Linked DNA regions of Saccharomyces cerevisiae S288C. The protein of the gene in region 3 binds, or shares a complex with, the protein of the main gene of each other region. Each region holds a gene or a part of one and is shown on either strand. Other genes may lie near its edges.

The links.
Region 1: RSM24 (region 3) and RSM28 share a complex: the UniProt entries of both Saccharomyces cerevisiae proteins name them as parts of the mitochondrial small ribosomal subunit.
Region 2: RSM24 (region 3) and PET123 share a complex: the UniProt entries of both Saccharomyces cerevisiae proteins name them as parts of the mitochondrial small ribosomal subunit.

What each region holds. Positions count from the first base shown.
Region 1 is NC_001136.10:1,434,941-1,438,813, reverse strand, and holds RSM28 (mitochondrial 37S ribosomal protein mS46 RSM28), read right to left. Parts: upstream 1,885-3,873; coding exon 799-1,884; downstream 1-798. Other genes in the region: CORVET complex subunit VPS3, read left to right, coding at 1-699; MZM1 (Mzm1p), read right to left, coding at 2,226-2,597; IZH1 (PAQR-type receptor), read right to left, coding at 2,940-3,873. UniProt on the Saccharomyces cerevisiae protein: Component of the mitochondrial ribosome (mitoribosome), a dedicated translation machinery responsible for the synthesis of mitochondrial genome-encoded proteins, including at least some of the essential transmembrane subunits of the mitochondrial respiratory chain.
Region 2 is NC_001147.6:630,360-633,918, reverse strand, and holds PET123 (mitochondrial 37S ribosomal protein mS26 PET123), read right to left. Parts: upstream 1,756-3,559; coding exon 799-1,755; downstream 1-798. Other genes in the region: mRNA transport regulator MTR10, read right to left, coding at 1-80; mRNA splicing protein SME1, read left to right, coding at 353-637; PUP1 (proteasome core particle subunit beta 2), read left to right, coding at 2,168-2,953; SUMO ligase NFI1, read left to right, coding at 3,379-3,559. UniProt on the Saccharomyces cerevisiae protein: Component of the mitochondrial ribosome (mitoribosome), a dedicated translation machinery responsible for the synthesis of mitochondrial genome-encoded proteins, including at least some of the essential transmembrane subunits of the mitochondrial respiratory chain.
Region 3 is NC_001136.10:812,444-816,339, forward strand, and holds RSM24 (mitochondrial 37S ribosomal protein mS35 RSM24), read right to left. Parts: upstream 1,710-3,896; coding exon 750-1,709; downstream 1-749. Other genes in the region: HMO1 (Hmo1p), read left to right, coding at 1-407; histone acetyltransferase NGG1, read left to right, coding at 2,009-3,896. UniProt on the Saccharomyces cerevisiae protein: Component of the mitochondrial ribosome (mitoribosome), a dedicated translation machinery responsible for the synthesis of mitochondrial genome-encoded proteins, including at least some of the essential transmembrane subunits of the mitochondrial respiratory chain.

The DNA of each region.
Region 1 (3,873 bases), 620 kb from region 3:
AAATTTCTCTTTAACTATTATTTGGCGAAATTGCGAGAAATAATCAACCAAAGTAACATATGGTCCATTCTTGGAGATTTTATCAAAGAGTACAAAGACGATTTCGCGTATGATAAGACAGATATAACAAATTTTATTCATATCAAATTAAAGCATAGTCTTCAGTGCGAAAATTTTTCCAAATATTATGAAAAATGTGAAAACTTGAAATCGGAAAATGAAAAAGATGATGAGTTTATTAATTTCACCTTCGACGAAATTTCCAAGATCGATAAAGAACACATATTGACCTTGTTATTTTTCCCCAATGAATTAACAAACTGGGTTTCTTCCGAAGAATTGCTGAAAATATATTTGTCATTTAATGATTTCAGAAGTGTAGAAAAATACATAGGCAAGCAGAACTTGGTTGCGGTGATGAAACAATACTTGGACATATCTTCTTTGAATTACTCAGTTGAATTAGTGACTAATTTGCTACAGAGAAATTTTGAACTTTTAGATGATACAGATATTCAATTAAAGATCCTCGAAACTATACCTTCCGTATTTCCCGTACAAACAATATCCGAATTGCTTTTAAAGGTACTTATTAAGTATCAAGAAAAGAAGGAGGAATCTAATTTGCGGAAATGTTTGTTGAAAAATCAAATATCCATTTCTGACGAACTAAGCCGGAATTTTGATAGTCAAGGATAAGAAGAGCCCACCTATTCTTTTTCTGTTCAGGCATACAATTCAAATTTTATACGTACTAGATATTTACAGGTATGTAAGAATGAAATAACGATGTTTGATTTACTGTTGTAATTCAGAAATTGGTTTCATTCCAGAACAAACATCATATACCAATTTCTTTTCCTCGGAGCCCATAACAACAGATTGTAATGATAACCTCACAACTTGACTATTTTGTACGAGCTTACTCACAGTATCTTTAGATTTCGTCAGTTTTTCAAAATCTTTTTTCACATATGGTTTTAAGAGTTGATATTCTCCTGTTACTTGCCTATGAAAATCTTCTGGGTCTTCTTCAATAAGTAAATTCTGCAATTGAGGCTCTTTGGCAAAAATCAAGGAGGATCCTGGTGTATATTTACCAAAGTTTGGCGTGTTTAGGGTGAAATCATGTACTTTGAGGATTCCCAAATTTGGCGATCTGTAAATGGGGTAATTGGATTTTTTCAAGCTATCTAAGGTAAAGTTGACTAATCTGGATTCCTTTGTTGGAAAAACTTGAGGAGTATATTCTAACAAAGATAAAGGAGTGGGCTCTTCTAGTACATATTCTGAACTGACAGGTCTCTTGATAACCTTCTGTAGCTGCTGTTGAGGAGCCTTTCTCCTTTTAGATGCTGTTAAGATATGACTCTTTTTTTGAAACCTTGCTTTAGATTTGGGGGTTCCATTGAAATTAACAGGTTTTTGCTCCATCGACGAATTGAAGACATCAAGTAAATCATCTTCGACTCTCGCATCTCCTTTCAAATTATTTTTGCCATTCTGCATCTTTTTGAACTGTGGCTGCATAACTACTGTATTTCCAGTAGGATTCTTTACAAAAGACGTATTAGCACCTTTATTCCACTGCTGCTTGTTAGCACGAACAGAATCACTAGAACGGTTTTTCAGTCTCATGTTTCTTTCTCCTTGATTTCCCTCTCTACCCCTGCTTTCTTTATTGTTCATACTATTCCTATTCTGATTCCCGTTTCTCCTCTTATTTTGCATTCTACCCTCCTTCATCTTGTCCAATTTGAGAGCATTGGAGGAAGCTTTTGCTGTTGCCTCTTGAGCCCTTGCTAGAATGCTATTTATGAAATCTTCTGTGACACTTGTGCTGTAATGAGCGCGACTCACACATCTAAACATGGAGGAGCGCATTTTCTACTCCGTCTATTTCTCTTATTATGGCTCGTCCAACTAGATTATTTAATGAGTTACCGCTGCCCTTTTCCTCTTTTATGCTTTCTCCAGTTTCGTTAAGTTTAATTCCGCTATAAAGCTTTGTTCATTTCCGTCAAAAGGGATAAAGCACTAGCAACTACGCTGTTTCAGTAGCACATCAAATACAACAAGCTGTATACATGTACATACTACAAACAGAACAAATGCAACGATATATCGTGCTAAATCAGTTTATATGCCACCTAGCAAAGTTGCTAGGTACTAAAAAAGTATTTACATGTATATAGCTTCGAAGATAAAACAAAATCAAGGCATTATCATTGCTTTTTATCAGAGCATTTAAATGGTCTTGCCTTTAAGTTTGTTTTCACTCTTGCCGTAGGGTCTGCAATCGTCTCATTGTCACCCAATTCGGTGTCTTTGTGAATGTTCAAATGGTACCTAGGCTCCTTAGTACTTGAGCCATCAACCTTTTTGCCCTGAACCAGGTTTCGTCTCAAAAAAACAGCCACATCCTCTAAATGTTGAATCTGATCCTCTGTGGTGAGTTTAGGATCTGGGGGACATAACATTCCTGAACGCATTTTAGCTCTCGCGGCTAGTAATACTTCAGCATCATTCCGGAAAGCTATTCGGGTTGCTCTTAAGCCATGCCTGTATGCATTCAGGGCCTTTGTTCTCGTGCTCATAGTGTGTTAAATTTATATAATTTGTTCTTTTTATTCTCTTCAGTGAAACGCAAGCGTACCGAAAAATATAAGGAAGTCTTTTAGTCCTATCCTTTTCTCTTCCTCTCTTTCCTTTGTAGTAGGTTCACTTATTCAAACGTTTAATTTTTCGGCATTACTCACTTTAGTAAGACCAAAATTAATTAGGCTAATATAGCGAAGTACCTGTCAAAATGCGATCTATGATAAAAGCATGATGTGACGAATATCTAAAAAGGAATAAAGACTTTTTTTGCATTTAATTATTTTCTAACCTTAGATATATAATGTTATTTATTTGATTTTGTAGTAGTTGTAGGCCCATCAAGGGTGGATATGAGAATGCATTAATTTGTAAGAATCGATAATGGCTTTCAAGTGGCATACAGAACCAAGAACCACCATAATATGAAATATTTGATGAGAGCTACCGAAGAAATCGAACTTCCCTGGAGCCAAAGTTTCAGGAATCCTAAACCCGTAGATTACAGCCCCTGAAATGTAAAAGAGAGCTTCCCAAAACACAAAGCTGACTTTTATTCTGTTAAGAACCCCTTGGATACCGAACTTGAAAAACCCTGTGGTCAATGGGAGTAAGCCACTAAATCCAAACAATATGAAAAACATGGCCCTAAATGGACGAAATGTGGAAGTGTTAAACTTGTCGTGGAGGACACAGACTGTACAAAATGTTGCCAGGACTAAAGTAACAATCGTGAAAAGACTGAAGTAGGATATGTGGTCGAAGTAACCAAAGTATATTATAGGGATCATAGAACAGGAAATCAAACTGATAATCCCCAAGTAGTCGAGCTTGCTCCAGAAATTGCTTTGCTTTTCAGAGTGTTGCTTCATGCAGTGGAAACAGCTACTGCACATGAGACATGAGAAAGCGCCCATCAAGAAAATGTTTATAACGGTGTAATCGGACCAGGAAGTGGAGGGGAAAACGGGAATTAGAAAGTAGTTGGTCAACGTAATGGCAAACACGAAGTATACGATAGCCGGTACCAAATGTGTATAAATGTTCACAGTCTCGTTGTTCCAATAAAATAAAGAATATAAGCACTTTTTCCATGACAGTGTTTCACGAACGTACCCGGTGAGAATTTTGTCATTATCTTTTTGCCATTCTGGCAACTCATCGAAATTGTGTAGCAGTTTTTGCTTTTCAAAAACTGTCTGGCCTGAGACAGCTTCCACCTTAATGGAGGCTCTCGTTGCCTTGCAGCAGACACTATCTTGGTTTCTTCTTCTA
Region 2 (3,559 bases), on a different chromosome or scaffold from region 3:
TTGTTTTTATCATCTTGAGATGCAGTAGACGATATGCATTGTAAAGCAGTTTCTATATCAGATACCTGTAAGTTGTCCATAACGCAAGTTAATCCTTAGTATATCCTCAATAAATCCTTGATACTGATCTGTCAACGAGTATTTTCATGCCTTTTTCCTTCATTTATTTTTTTGTCAATATCCCTTATGTTCGAAAATTTTTTTCAATTATACCGAAAGCCTGAGCATCTAACAGAGAAATAGAAAATTGAAGTGAAATAACAATAATAGATGGTAAAGGTAAGAGATAATACTAAGGAAAGGAGATTAAGGAACACAGGAAGGATATAGAGCGAAAAACAAGAGGCTTGGAATGTCGAACAAAGTTAAAACCAAGGCCATGGTGCCACCAATAAATTGCATATTTAACTTCTTACAACAGCAAACACCAGTAACGATATGGTTATTCGAGCAAATCGGCATAAGAATCAAGGGTAAAATAGTTGGATTTGATGAGTTCATGAATGTTGTCATCGATGAAGCCGTGGAAATTCCTGTGAATAGTGCCGATGGTAAAGAAGATGTGGAGAAGGGCACGCCCTTGGGGAAGATCCTGTTGAAAGGCGATAATATCACATTGATAACATCAGCGGACTGAAAGAAAAAGGGGAACGAGAGAAATAGACAATTCGCAAGTGACGTATATACATGGGCATATTTATTCTCGATTTGATTTTTTTTTCTTCTTTTCTTTAGTTGTAATGCGTCTAAGGCACTTTCGAATACATGACATGTTGAAGTAGTATATATATTAGTTATTTACAAGTTGGTTGTATTATTATTATTACCATTATTTCCAGCTCCATTAGAGGTGGGGTTTAATTTGGAATCAATTTTATTGGAAATGTTTTTTAAATCCTTGTTCAGATATGAATCCACTAAAGAAATATCGAAAAACTTTTCGTTTGACAAAGAGCCCATTATTGCGTTGTTAATTTGGGTTTGTAGGGTGGTGTTACCTGAAAGTAATAATTTTCTATTTCCAAATTGCGTGAAGTTAGAAGTTACATCATAGGCATCAGTGAATTCCTCCGTTTCATCGTTAAAAACCTTATCAATTTTCTTTAGTAGTTGGGATTCTGTAACGATGAATTCATTAGCGACATGGTAGAGGTTTAATAATTCGTTTAGCTTTTTCTTGTGCGCCTGAAAGTTCAACAACGATCGATTGTAATTCCTTTTCAACTTCAACAATTCGCTCTCTTCTGGTGATCTGTTCCTTAAAAGAGGTTGAGACATCATTTTGTCTAGAGTCATAATAGTCAAGTCTGAAGATTTTTCCTTATTTAGTTTTTCTAGCTCCAGTTCTTTTGCTTTTTCCAGTTCCTTTGTCCTCTTCTGCAAATACTCGTGTTTGTGTAATAGCCTAGCCTCTTCCTTGCGAAATGCTTCAATCAAAAACTTTCTTCTTAATTCAGCTTTTTGTAATCTCACTTTCTGTGCTGAACCGTTACTGGATTTTATACTCTGGGGTTCAGCAACGGTCTTCGCAATGAGATTATCCACGTCGATAAAGTTTACCTTGGGTGATAATCTATGTGATCCTTTTGGATGTTTTACACCTTTGGCATACCCAATACCAAGAACACCCTTGGGCTTGGGTGATTTTACCTTATTAATAATATCAGTCTGCTTTGTAGTGGGGCTCTTCAGAATGGACCTTGTTGTGGGGAAAACCCCACTTTTAAAACCATACTTGGCCGCACCTTTCCCCATACTTCAATTATCCTTGTTATTATTGTTGTTGACAATCAGCAATGAAACTATTACCTAAATAATCCATATGTAGATTCTCTTCTTTATTCTACTCCTCTTGGGAATCACTTTCCTACTCGGCGACTTCAGGGTTCTACTTGCACTTCCGTTGCTAGTGATTTTTCATTAGGGCCAATATTTTTACCCTCATTACAAACCCTTTATTGTAAAAGCGGGTAAATTAGGGCCATGTTTCGTATTTTATAACCCGGCCGAGTGGCAAAATACCAAAAAGAAAGATGAAAAGGATAAACTAATAATTCAGCAGAAGGGTGATCAGTTGAGGTGGAGAGTTTGTATAGTAAAGCGTTAAATTTTTTCAGGAATACTCCCCCCACATAAACCTGATTGTAGAAAATAGAATTGAGTGAGCATGGCAGGTTTATCGTTCGACAATTATCAAAGAAATAATTTCTTAGCGGAAAACTCGCACACACAACCTAAGGCAACTTCCACGGGTACCACCATTGTAGGCGTAAAATTCAATAACGGAGTGGTGATTGCAGCAGATACAAGATCAACACAAGGTCCAATTGTCGCAGATAAGAATTGCGCAAAATTGCATAGAATTTCCCCCAAAATATGGTGTGCTGGTGCCGGTACCGCCGCCGATACTGAGGCAGTTACGCAGTTGATCGGGTCTAACATTGAATTACATTCCTTATATACCTCGAGAGAACCAAGAGTGGTCTCAGCTTTACAAATGCTAAAGCAGCACCTATTTAAGTACCAAGGTCATATTGGTGCTTATTTGATTGTTGCAGGTGTAGACCCTACGGGATCTCATTTGTTCTCCATTCATGCGCATGGTTCTACTGACGTGGGCTACTACCTTTCTCTAGGATCTGGTTCTCTAGCGGCAATGGCTGTGTTGGAATCACACTGGAAGCAAGACCTTACGAAGGAGGAAGCCATAAAGTTGGCCTCTGATGCAATCCAGGCTGGTATCTGGAATGATTTGGGGTCTGGTTCTAATGTGGATGTGTGTGTCATGGAAATAGGTAAAGATGCAGAATACTTGAGGAATTACTTGACTCCAAATGTTAGAGAAGAAAAGCAGAAAAGCTACAAATTCCCCAGGGGTACAACTGCTGTGCTGAAGGAGAGTATTGTCAATATTTGTGACATACAAGAAGAACAAGTCGATATAACGGCTTGAAAGTAAAACATAGAACTTAAGTATATTTTAGTATAGTAAATCATTGTTCAACAAAATGTGATAAAGGAAGTCAAAAACTAACCGCAAAACTATTTACATAATATATTTTCTTATAGCAGAGCTTATTATTTGTTCTTGATTCTTTTTCTTTTTTCTTTTTTTTATGCTTTGAAGTGTGTTAGTTGATTTTTGTTCGTTAATTTTCGTGTTAATTTATCCATCCATTTTAGCTATTTTATCACACAGAGCATAATATAACAAACACAGCTCAGTACCACACATATAACATAACACTAAAATTAACATTTCTATAGTCATCCGTTTGTTGGTCTTTAAAGGGCTATTACTGAGGCAAATATCAAGGAACTAAGAATACCACAAACGATACACTGATAATCAAGAAACGTATAAGGGAAAAGAGCACGATGGCAAGTGTCATGTCAAATAATAATAATAATAATAATAATAATAATGCCAGTTATATGTTTACGAACCCTTTGTCCAACACAGGTGGTGGACTCATAAATGAAATAAAAGATGCAATAAATGAAATGGAACAATTAAAGGTTCTAGAGTTAAAGCAAATATGCAAATCTCTGGATTTAT
Region 3 (3,896 bases):
TTTTCTTTGCTTACTCTGCGTACGTTCGTCAAGAACTTCGTGAAGACAGACAAAAGGCTGGCTTGCCACCTTTATCCTCAACTGAGATTACTCAAGAAATCTCCAAGAAATGGAAGGAATTGAGTGATAACGAAAAAGAAAAATGGAAGCAGGCTTACAACGTCGAGTTGGAGAATTACCAAAGAGAGAAATCCAAATACTTAGAAGCAAAGAAAAACGGTACCCTACCACCAGCTTCCTTGGAAAACGGTCCAACTCATGCGCCGGTTCCAATTCCTTTCAGTTTACAGCACGCCGCTGAACCTCCTGTGGAAAAGAGACCTCACGATGATGATGGATCTTCGGAAAAGAAGAAGAAGAAGAAGAAGAAGGATAAGAAGAAGGACAAATCCAACTCTTCTATTTGATGGACGGACAAACTCGTTACTATTACTCTACTGTCTTTCTAAAATAAATATAATAATAAAAAAAGGAATAAAATATAGCAGCATGGGCTTGCTTTGCCCATAGTGTATGCACATATATATATATATATATGTATCTATCCCTCTCCTCTTGTAACAGTATATCTTCCTTTTCATTTTCGTTGTGTATATGTATGTATATAGTTCTAAATTTGCGATTATACCTTTTCAAACCTCTCAATGTTGTATTGTGCTAAAACTATGTACATTTTAGAGAAAAAGAAGGAAGCAAAACAAATACATAATATATACAGGGGGGCCGTTCTTTTTGTTTTTGAACATGTATTAAAGAGTGCTCAATAATTGATCTACAATATCAAATTTCTTCTTTGGTGCATCTTCAGGGCGTTTCCAGTGTTCAGGAAACTCATAATCCCGCTTCTTTTTACGTAAACTCTTAGCTATAGTATGCCTTGTGTCAAGGGGAACATCGCTAAAATCGTCCTCCGTCAAATCTTTTGACTCCGCTAACAGCCTTTGAAGAATATCATGCAAATAACGTGCATTTTGTGATGCATGCTCAAATTTGTCACTAGACATTTTAAAAATATCTGTAGTATGATCATAACGCGACCTGGCTAATATTCTGAACTTATGTAATGATTTTTCCTCCAGGCCCAATTCCTTGGTTTTAACGCTTAATACAACCTTCCTCGAATTGGGATGCTCTTCGCCAACATAACTAGTGTATCTATAAGTGACCGGATGACTTTCTGGAGATGGTCTCTTGTATTCCTGGCGATATTGAGCTAATAGCGGTAACTCATATGCGGCTAATCGATTATAGAACCTTTGTTCACGATGTTGGGCAACCAATTCCTGAGCTTGCGATGGCAATTCATCAAACATAAACGGTCTAAGACTGTTATCGCGATTCACGTTTCCACCTTTTATATCAATAGCGCCTTGTTCTCCTCTGTGATATAGCTTTTTAATATCGTTAACAGGTACATTTGAGTACTCAGAAGTGGTTAATAAGGCATTCAGTTCGTCTTTGTTAGGTTTATACTCTGAACCCAATCTAGCCATTCTCTCCCAATATAACTCTAAAATTCTTTGAGGAGGTAAACCCTTCCATTTTTCGGGATGCATATAGAGATCTGCTGAAAAAGCTGGTCCTTCTCTCACAGTTTTAGCTTCATTACCAGCATCACTGTTCAAACATCTAGACATTGTCAAAACCCTTTTCTGGGTGCTCCACAAATTACCCCGAGAGACTTTCCATAACCCCAATGGTACTTTCATCTTCCTAAGAATAGTATTTTAGTAGTGTCAAATGTTTCGGTAACTCTACTGCCTTGTTCACAGATCGAAATATACTCAGAATCAGTTACAGAAAAGGTCCCATTTAGCGTAATTTCTTAGCGGAACTCATTAAAGAGCTCCGACGTGCAACGCGATAAAGGTTCGCCGACGACAACAAAACAATGGCAGGCAGTCATTAAATGAACGCCATCAAATGAAATATTCGTGGTAGCGATTACAATAAGGAAGTTGGAAAAACATAACAAAGACGGAGCGACGAGAAGTATTGGACAGGACATATGCCTAGACATGGAAGAAGAGGAAAACTGCCAAAAGGCGAGAAACTTCCTAAAAAGGAGGGAGGCGACAATACTCCGTCAAAGCTTTTATCGTCAATGCTTAAAACTTTAGATTTGACCTTCGAGCGTGATATTGGAATGCTCAATGGCAAAAGTGTTAGGTCCATACCCAATAAAAAAACTTTACTTGAATTGCAAAGTCAATTGGATAGTCTCAATGAAATACTGGGTACAATTGCCCGAGGTGATCAAGAGACCATTGAAGCGCTTCGGAAAATAAGAGACAGTAAAAATGAGAAGCAAGCAAACGATGAAAAGCAGGAAACTTCAAATGCAGACGGGCAGCACGAAAGTTCTACTGCTACTGAAGAAACGAATATAATTGATAAAGGGGTACAAAGCCCACCAAAACCTCCTCCTTCTAATGAAATCTCCGGCACAATTGAGAACGATGTAGAAAGCATCAAACAAGCGGCTGATAATATGGCTAAAGAAGAAATTAATGAAGACAAAGATTTACAAGTTCATAGAGATCAACCCAGAGAAAAGAGGCCGTTCGATTCTGAAACTGAAAATAGGGCCACTGAAAATGAAAACACACAGAGGCCAGACAATAAGAAGCAAAAAATTGACGTTGACAAAATGGAAAACGATCCAACTGTTAAAAATCCAAAATCAGAATTTGTAGTATCGCAAACGTTACCTCGAGCAGCAGCAGCACTCGGCTTATTCAATGAAGAGGGACTAGAAAGTACAGGAGAAGACTTCCTAAAAAAAAAATACAATGTAGCTAGTTATCCAACAAATGATTTGAAAGATCTGTTACCAGGTGAATTACCGGATATGGACTTTTCGCATCCTAAACCAACCAACCAAATTCAATTCAATACCTTTCTAGCATTTGTGGAAAATTTTTTCAAAGATCTTAGTGATGACAACTTAAAGTTTTTGAAGATGAAATATATTATACCCGATAGCTTGCAATTTGACAAAACTTATGACCCTGAGGTAAACCCGTTTATTATACCGAAACTAGGCCCTTTATACACAGATGTTTGGTTCAAAGATGAAAACGACAAAAATTCTGCCTATAAAAAACCTTCACCATATTCAAACGATGCATCTACTATACTACCAAAAAAAAGTGCCAACGAACTTGATGATAATGCTTTGGAATCGGGCAGTATATCGTGTGGGCCCTTATTATCTAGGCTGTTGAGTGCTGTATTAAAAGATGACAATGACAAATCAGAATTGCAATCTTCTAAAATAATACGGGATGGCGGACTACCGAGAACCGGAGGGGAAGACGATATACAATCGTTTAGAAACAACAACAATGATACTGTAGACATGACATTATCTCAGGAGAACGGGCCCAGTGTTCAAACACCTGACAATGACATTGATGAGGAAGCATCTTTCCAAGCAAAACTGGCAGAAAATAAAGGCAGTAATGGCGGTACTACAAGTACGTTACCCCAACAAATTGGGTGGATAACAAATGGAATTAACCTGGACTATCCAACATTCGAAGAACGATTGAAAAGAGAACTAAAGTATGTAGGGATATACATGAATTTGCCTAAGGATGAGAACAACCCTAACTCAGATGACCCCGATTGGGTCACCGGTAGAGAAGACGACGAAATAAGCGCAGAGTTAAGAGAATTGCAAGGCACTTTAAAACAAGTGACCAAGAAAAACCAAAAGAGGAAAGCCCAATTGATTCCACTAGTGGAAAGACAACTAGCATGGCAGGAATACTCATCTATTTTAGAAGATTTAGACAAACAAATCGACCAGGCTTATGTCAAACGTATTCGCGTACCCAAGAAAAGAAAGAAGCATCATACAGCAGCTTCAAATAATGTGAACACAGGAACCA